2 linked regions of the Xenopus tropicalis genome follow. The protein of the gene in region 2 interacts with the protein of the main gene of each other region in a pairwise test. Links are inferred from orthologs where the notes say so. Each region holds a gene or a part of one and is shown on either strand. Other genes may lie near its edges. The genes, in order: parva and mocos.

Region 1 (4,324 bases), on a different chromosome or scaffold from region 2:
TTCTGTGCCCCCCATATAAAGGCACAAGGCTGCAGGCTGAGTTATACAGGGAACTCTGAGTATCACTCATGTATTATAAGGGATAATGTACCCCCTACTGTAAATGATAAGGATATTAGCAGTCACTGAGGGGTTCTGTGCCCATATAAAGGCACAAGGCAGAAGGATGAGTACTTATATACAGGTCATGGAACCTGTTTATACAATATATATTTTCATTTTATACTGTACTGTCCAAAGGAACATAATGTATAATGTATAAATACAAATATACAGAGAAGGAATGTTCTGGGCACACAATAAGCTGTACCCCCATACTGTACTGTCTAAGGGAAACACTATGGCACCCCCTACCCATATGTATAAATACAAATATACAGAGAAGGAATGTTCTGGGCACACAATAAGCTGTACCCCCATACTGTACTGTCTAAGGGAAACACTATGGCACCTCCTACCCATATGTATAAATACAAATATACAGAGAAGGAATGTTCTGGGCACACAATAAACTGTACCCCCATACCCAGGGGGCAGCAGGCAGGGAACAGGGGGTAACAGGCAGGGAACAGGGGGGCAAAGGGGGTAACAGGCAGGGCACAGGGGGTAACAGGCAGGGCACAGGGGGTATAAGGCAGGGCACAGGGGGTATAAGGCAGGGCACAGGGGGTAACAGGCAGGGAACAGGGGGGCACAGGGGGTAACAGGCAGGGCAGCAGGGGGGCACAGGGGGTAACAGGCAGGGCACAGGGGTAACAGGCAGGGCACAGGGGGTAACAGGCAGGGCACAGGGGTAACAGGCAGGGCACAGGGGGTAACAGGCAGGGCCACAGGGGTAACAGCAGGGCAAGGGGAAGGCAGGGCCAGGGGTACAGGCAGGGCTCAGGGGTAACAGGCAGGGCACAGGGGGTAACAGGCAGGGCACAGGGGTAACAGGCAGGGCACAGGGGTAACAGGCAGGGCACAGGGGTAACAGGCAGGGCACAGGGGTAACAGGCCAGGGCGTACAGGGGTAACAGGCAGGGCTCAGGGGTAACAGGCAGGGCACAGGGGGTAACAGGCAGGGCAGCAGGGGGTAACAGGCAGGGCACAGGGGGTAACAGGCAGGGCACAGGGGTAACAGGGGGAACAGGCAGGGAACAGGGGGTAACAGGCAGGGAACAGGGGGTAATAGGCAGGGCACAGGGGTAACAGGCAGGGCACAGGGGTAACAGGCAGGGCACAGGGGGGCACAGGGGTAACAGGCAGGGCACAGGGGTAACAGGCAGGGCACAGGGGGTAACAGGCAGGGCACAGGGGGCACAGGGTAACAGGCAGGGCACAGGGGTAACAGGCAGGGCACAGGGGGTAACAGGCAGGGCACAGGGGGTAACAGGCAGGGCCAGGGTACAGGCAGGGCACAGGGGGTAACAGGCAGGGCACAGGGGTAACAGGCAGGGCACAGGGGGTAACAGGCAGGGCAGCAGGGGTAAAGGCAGGGCCAGGGGGGCACAGGGGTAACAGGCAGGGCACAGGGGGGCACAGGGGTAACAGGCAGGGCACAGGGGTAACAGGCAGGGCACAGGGGGTAACAGGCAGGGCACAGGGGTAACAGGCAGGGCACAGGGGTAACAGGCAGGGCACAGGGGGTAACAGGCAGGGCACAGGGGGGACAGGGGTAACAGGCAAAGCACAGGGGTAACAGGCAGGGCACAGGGGTAAACAGCAGGGCACAGGGGTAACAGGCAGGGCACAGGGGTAACAGGCAGGGCACAGGGTAACAGGCAGGGCACAGGGGTAACAGGCAGGGCACAGGGGTAACAGGCAGGGCACAGGGGTAACAGGCAGGGCACAGGGGGTAACAGGGGTAACAGGCAGGTAACAGGCAGGCACAGGGGTAACAGGCAGGGCACAGGGGTAACAGGCAGGGCACAGGGGGGCACAGGGGTAACAGGCAGGGCCACAGGGGTAACAGGCAGGGCACAGGGGTAACAGGCAGGGCACAGGGGGGCACAGGGGTAACAGGCAGGGCACAGGGGTAACAGGCAGGGCACAGGGGTAACAGGCAGGGCACAGGGGGTAACAGGCAGGGCACAGGGGTCAACAGGCAGGGCACAGGGGTAACAGCAGGGCACAGGGGTAAACAGCAGGGCACAGGGGTAACAGGCAGGGCACAGGGGGTAACAGGCAGGGCACAGGGGGTAACAGGCAGGGCACAGGGGGTACAGGCAGGGCACAGGGGTAACAGGCAGGCCACAGGGGTAACAGGCAGGGCACAGGGGGTAACAGGCAGGGCACAGGGGGTAACAGGCAGGGCACAGGGGGTAACAGGCAGGGCACAGGGGGTAACAGGCAGGGCACAGGGGGTAACAGGCAGGGCACAGGGTAAACAGGCAGGGCACAGGGGGTAACAGGCAGGGCACAGGGGGTAACAGGCAGGGCACAGGGGTAACAGGCAGGGCACAGGGGTAACAGGCAGGGCACAGGGGTAACAGGCAGGGCACAGGGGTAACACCACACTGTATATAGGGTATTTCAGGCCCAGATGCAGATCCCGGGCAGGAATAGGCAGGACGGGCGGGTGGGTCGGTGCCTAAAGCTCTGGGGACACAGTCCGGCCCCGCGGTACATTGGGCCGATATATTGGGCCCCCGGGGGCCCCCATACTGTGTGGGCGGAGCTACAGAGAGCGCTAAGGAATGCAGCGCAGAACGTGTTGCCCCGGGGGTGCCCCCACCCACTGCCCCAATAGCCCCACCCAGTCACTTACCCTCTTTGGCCTTCTTTCTCCGGGCCAGGGTGCCCCCCAACTTGCCCAGGAACGAGTCATCTTTCTTCCGGGAGGGGGGAGACTTCGGGGTGGGGGATTTCGGGCTGGAAGGAGACTTTTGGGGGGACGTTGCCATGGCTGGGAGAGGCGCAGAGCGGCACAGCGGGGCGGGGCGGGGAGAGGCGCAGAGCGGCACAGCGGGGCGGGGCGGGGGCGTCACAGCGGGGCGGGGCGGGGGGGGGGCGTCACAGCAGGGCGGGGCTGGGATGTCACAGCGGGGCGGGGCTGGGCCTGGGGCGCAACCGGAATCCTCTCAGGCGGGATCCGCCCCTCTGTCTGCTCCCGGCACCTCTCCTGGCACAGTTACCCCAGCCTCACTCAGTTACCCCAGCCTCACTCAGTTACCCCAGCCTCACTCAGTTACCCCAGCCTCACTCAGTTACCCCAGCCTCACTCAGTTACCCCAGCCTCACTCAGTTACCCCAGCCTCACTCAGTTACCCCAGCCTCACTCAGTTACCCCAGCCTCACTCAGTTACCCCAGCCTCACTCAGTTACCCCAGCCTTACCCAGTTACCCCAGCCTCACTCAGTTACCCCAGCCTCACTCAGTTATCCCAGCCTTACCCAGTTACCCCAGCCTCACTCAGTTACCCCAGCCTCACTCAGTTATCCCAGCCTTACCCAGTTACCCCAGCCTCACTCAGTTACCCCAGCCTCACTCAGTTATAAATTTTCCCCCCAGCCTTACCCAGTTACCCCAGCCTCACTCAGTTACCCCAGCCTCACTCAGTTACCCCAGCCTCACTCAGTTACCCCAGCCTCACTCAGTTACCCCAGCCTCACTCAGTTACCCCAGCCTTACCCAGTTACCCCAGCCTCACTCAGTTACCCCAGCCTCACTCAGTTATCCCAGCCTTACCCAGTTACCCCAGCCTCACTCAGTTACCCCAGCCTCACTCAGTTACCAGCCTCACCCAGTTACCCAGCCTCACTCAGTTACCCAGGCCCACTCAGTTACCCCAGCCTCACTCAGTTACCCCAGCCTCACTCAGTTACCCCAGCCTCACTCAGTTACCCCAGCCTCACTCAGTTATCCCAGCCTTACCCAGTTACCCCAGCCTCACTCAGTTACCCCAGCCTCACTCAGTTATCCCAGCCTTACCCAGTTACCCCACCTCACTCAGTTACCCCAGCCTCACTCAGTTACCCCAGCCTCACTCAGTTACCCCAGCCTCACTCATACCCCAGCCTCACTCAGTTACCCCAGCCTCACTCAGTTATCCCAGCCTTACCCAGTTACCCCAGCCTCACTCAGTTACCCCAGCCTCACTCAGTTATCCCAGCCTTACCCAGTTACCCCAGCCTCACTCAGTTACCCCAGCCTCACTCAGTTACCCCAGCCTCACTCAGTTATCCCAGCCTTACCCAGTTACCCCAGCCTCACTCAGTTACCCCAGCCTCACTCAGTTATCCCAGCCTTACCCAGTTACCCCAGCCTCACTCAGTTACCCCAGCCTTACCCAGTTACCCCAGCCTTACCCACTTACCCCAGCCTCACTCAGTTACCCCAGCCT
Region 2 (4,351 bases):
ACATTTGCTTTCAGGAATGCTAATCTAATCCTTCATGCTGAAATTAACACAACATAATTTGTATAGTTCTGCTGTAATGTAAAATACATACCTCCCAACATTTGAAAAATGAAGAGAGGGACAAAAAGATTTGGTGCGCGCGCAGCGCGGCAAATTTTTTGACCACGCCCACTTTTGTGGCCACGCCCCAATTACCACACCCCATTTTTAAAAAAAATACTCCTTTTATATAGATGAAATGGCGGGATCAGACGCAAATGTGCTATACCCTCATACTGTACTACCTAAGGAAAACAATACAGCAACTCCTACATATAAAATATAGGGAGAAGGCAGTCAGTTATAAGTGAGTTATAACTATGTACCAGTTTTGCCCCCCATACACAGGTGCCCCCCCACACATTAGCACCCCCATACACAGGTGCCCCCCCATACAGAGTAGCCCCCCCCATACACAGGTGCCCCCCATACAGAGTAGCCCCCCATACAGAGTAGCCCCCCCATACACAGGTGCCCCCCATACAGAGTAGCCCCCCCATACACAGGTGCCCCCCATACAGAGTAGCCCCCCCCATACACAGGTGCCCCCCCATACACAGGTGCCCCCCATACAGAGTAGCCCCCCCATACACAGGTGCCCCCCATACACAGTAGCCCCCCCATACACAGGTGCCCCCCATACACAGTAGCCCCCCCATACACAGGTGCCCCCCATACAGAGTAGCCCCCCATACACAGTAGCCCCCCCATACACAGGTGCCCCCCATACAGAGTAGCCCCCCATACAGAGTAGCCCCCCATACAGAGTAGCCCCCCATACACAGGTGCCCCCCATACAGAGTAGCCCCCCATACACAGGTGCCCCCCATACAGAGTAGCCCCCCCCATACACAGGTGCCCCCCATACAGAGTAGCCCCCCCATACAGAGTAGCCCCCCATACACAGTAGCCCCCCCATACACAGGTGCCCCCCATACAGAGTAGCCCCCCATACAGAGTAGCCCCCCATACAGAGTAGCCCCCCATACACAGGTGCCCCCCATACAGAGTAGCCCCCCCCATACACAGGTGCCCCCCATACAGAGTAGCCCCCCCCATACACAGGTGCCCCCCATACAGAGTAGCCCCCCCATACACAGGTGCCCCCCATACAGAGTAGCCCCCCATACACAGGTGCCCCCCCCATACACAGGTGCCCCCCATACAGAGTAGCCCCCCCATACACAGGTGCCCCCCATACAGAGTAGCCCCCCCATACACAGGTGCCCCCCATACAGAGTAGCCCCCCCATACACAGGTGCCCCCCATACAGAGTAGCCCCCCCCATACACAGGTGCCCCCCATACAGAGTAGCCCCCCCCATACACAGGTGCCCCCCATACAGAGTAGCCCCCCCATACACAGGTGCCCCCCATACAGAGTAGCCCCCCATACACAGGTGCCCCCCATACAGAGTAGCCCCTCCCACACACAGGTGCCCCCCATACAGAGTAGTCCCCCCATACACAGGTGCCCCCCCCATACAGAGTAGCCCCCCATACACAGGTGCCCCCTATACACAGGTGCCCCCCATACAGAGTAGCCCCCCTATACACAGTAGCCCCCCCCACACAGTGCCCCCCATACACATTAGCACCCCCCCACACAGTGCCTCCATACATTCTGCTGCCGAAGCTTCTTCTTCAGCATCTCCTCTATATGCGGCTCCTTGTTCGGCAGAGCCAGGCCCTTTTATAAGGTTGCGCCCGTGCGTGCGTCTGACGTCAATACGCACGGGCGCAACCTTATAAAAGGCCTGGCTCCGCCGAACAAGGAGCCGCATATAGAGGAGACGCTGAAGAAGAGGAACTGAACGCCTGACTACAGCCAGCGCGTCCCACTGTCGGGATAGTTACACGAATGTCCCGCATTACGGAAATGTACAATTTCAGCTCAACCTATTTTCTTGCGTGCAGTTGGGTACCAATTTATGCAAAAGAACATAGTTTTATCCCAACACTTGTCCTTGTCCACACATGTTTACATAACCAGTAAAGCAGGGATGTGGTCACTTATTAACTATATAACTGAAAAGTTAGCAGTTAAAAGGTAAAAGATGTCTAAAATGACCTTTACTATTTCCACTAAACACCTAGCAACACTTGAAAAATTATTCCCATTAATATGCATTCTATTTAAAGATAAACAAAATCCATTACAGTTATAAAAAAAATAAAAAAAATCTAAATAAATATGACGCATTCTTTAAACTGAAGTCAAAAGCATATTTGAACGTTTATGGGTTTCTCCTGCACTAACAGGTTACAGATACACACAGCTGTGTTGAGAAGCCACGCCCACTCCAGGAACGCTGCGTATTCTTTCCATGCTTCCTACTTTGCTTGTTCTGTTTCATAAGGCCCTGTCTGTCATGTGACACAAGTTACACACGCTTTTCAGCTGCTCACATCTCCCAAAAAGGAAGCTATCAATAAACAGTTTAAAAGTATTTGTTTCGCGTGTGCGTGTTGTCAAGTGCTGTGGATTTCTTTTTGAGTGCATGGGATAGCTATATAATATGTACCCAGTTTATGCATGACACACAAAGTGCAACTCCTACTTACCATAAAGGATCTCTGCTGTGGTATACTTCCCCTGGAACATAACACATCAGCTGTATTCATATGTTCATGAGTTTGCTGCAAGTTAACACCTATCGAACATACCTCCAATTCTGCTGAATTCCTTTCTTCTCATATCCTCTATAGTGTTCCCATAGCCATAGTCGGAAGGGCTCCTGCAGAAAGTCTGAAAGTGCTTTGCAGACAGCAGCTCGTCCAGAGACATGCCTGAAATACTGAGATTCACATTCATAGCCAGCTTCAAGCGTAGCTCTGTTAAAAAGTAGCAAAAGTGTCAGCATAGTAATGACCCAGAAACGGAAGCCACTCCTTAGTGGGAGGAGCCTTCTCCTGTCAGCCTTATTTTACTTTCCCTGGTGACTATGGGAAATATCACACTAAGGATTTGTATTCCCACCCCAACTCTAATAGGACAGGTTCCAAAAAAACACCAGCAATTACATTTCATAACTGCTTGTGTATACACCCTCTTCCCCACTCCACTCTTTTTTCCTGTCCTTGCTATTTGGTAGGATCAGGTACTTGTGTAAATGGCTTTCTTTGCTCAAAATACTTTCTCTTTTATGGCAGTGCTGTCCAACTTGTATGGTACCAAGGGCTGGGATTTTTCTGGCCTACATACTGGAGGGACGATAATGGAAGCCAGTTTTGACCACACCCCTTTTTTAAACTGTGCCCACTTAAACCACACCCTTGTTATCACAAGAGCTTTTAACACTATACCCACATTAACGGTGGTAAGCACAGCAAAATCCCAAATGGTTAGTTCTCACTGCAGGGATATCACCCTTCATTTATACGTGAAAGAAGTTTATTATGTCATATTAAGACATACCCTTAAATCCATAAGCCTTCACTTGTGGATAGCACAGCTCCCCTAGCACATACTTACACACCTTAGGGATAATTTAATGACTATTTCCAAATGATAACAAACTCCCAGAAAAATTCCCTGCCAGATTCAACTCCCACAAGCAGCACAGGGCAAGCAGAGTATGGCACACACAAGCAGCATAGGGTAAGCAGTATGTAACACTTGTTTGGCTAGGATATGGCAAAACCCAGACTAGTAATAGGTATAGAGCATGTGTTACATGCGACCTTAATACACAGGGGTGGGCCTCCGCTAAGTGGCCCCATCTGTGAATTGGTCACAATGGAGAGTAGCAGATGTGACACTCAAGGAACAGTATAACCCACTTGGAGACTGTGCAGAGTATTAGTTGGATACCTGAGATGAAGACCTTTAGAGTAGGGAATGTTTCCAGCCGACTATGGTCCAGGGGCACAGCACCTGCCTGAATCCTGCGTCTAAACCGGTCCCTTCAGAAAGACAACAGAGCCGGGGTAGGCTAAACCCTTTTACAAACTCTTTGATGGGGCTAATAACTGCCCTTTCTAAATAGGCTAACTGTGCTCACCACTTCTAGAGGGTGCTATTACATAGAACTGACTGTGCTGGCTTTCTCTCGTTCACGGGGCCCTGTCCCCGACTTAATATAAAGATGGTTCTCTTTACTGGGGCCTTATGCCTCCAGGCTCAATGGTGTGACGCCTGAGACAACAGCAGCCAGAGAGAAAGACACTCCTCCTTACAAGACACTATATAGTCTGCACAATGGTGAGCAGTGCTATTCTAGTTTTAGCTGCACGGTTGGTGTTGGTTCCAGTTCCTAGTGCATCATGAATGATGAGTCTTCCAGTGCACTCAGACCAAGTTCAGAGGCACA

Evidence for each region.
Region 1: the proteins of mocos (region 2) and parva interact in binary tests that used the Homo sapiens proteins (3 or more experiments, as listed by UniProt). The two-hybrid records come from large-scale screens. The link is inferred for Xenopus tropicalis from reciprocal best matches to the Homo sapiens genes MOCOS and PARVA.

The regions. Positions count from the first base shown.
Region 1 is NC_030680.2:6,440,712-6,445,035, reverse strand, and holds the start of parva (alpha-parvin), read right to left. Parts: upstream 2,946-4,324; 5' UTR 2,886-2,945; coding exon 2,750-2,885; intron 1-2,749. UniProt on the Homo sapiens protein: Plays a role in sarcomere organization and in smooth muscle cell contraction. Required for normal development of the embryonic cardiovascular system, and for normal septation of the heart outflow tract.
Region 2 is NC_030682.2:74,579,753-74,584,103, reverse strand, and holds the start of mocos (molybdenum cofactor sulfurase), read right to left. Parts: upstream 2,941-4,351; 5' UTR 2,854-2,940; coding exon 2,706-2,853; intron 1-2,705. UniProt on the Homo sapiens protein: Sulfurates the molybdenum cofactor. Sulfation of molybdenum is essential for xanthine dehydrogenase (XDH) and aldehyde oxidase (ADO) enzymes in which molybdenum cofactor is liganded by 1 oxygen and 1 sulfur atom in active form.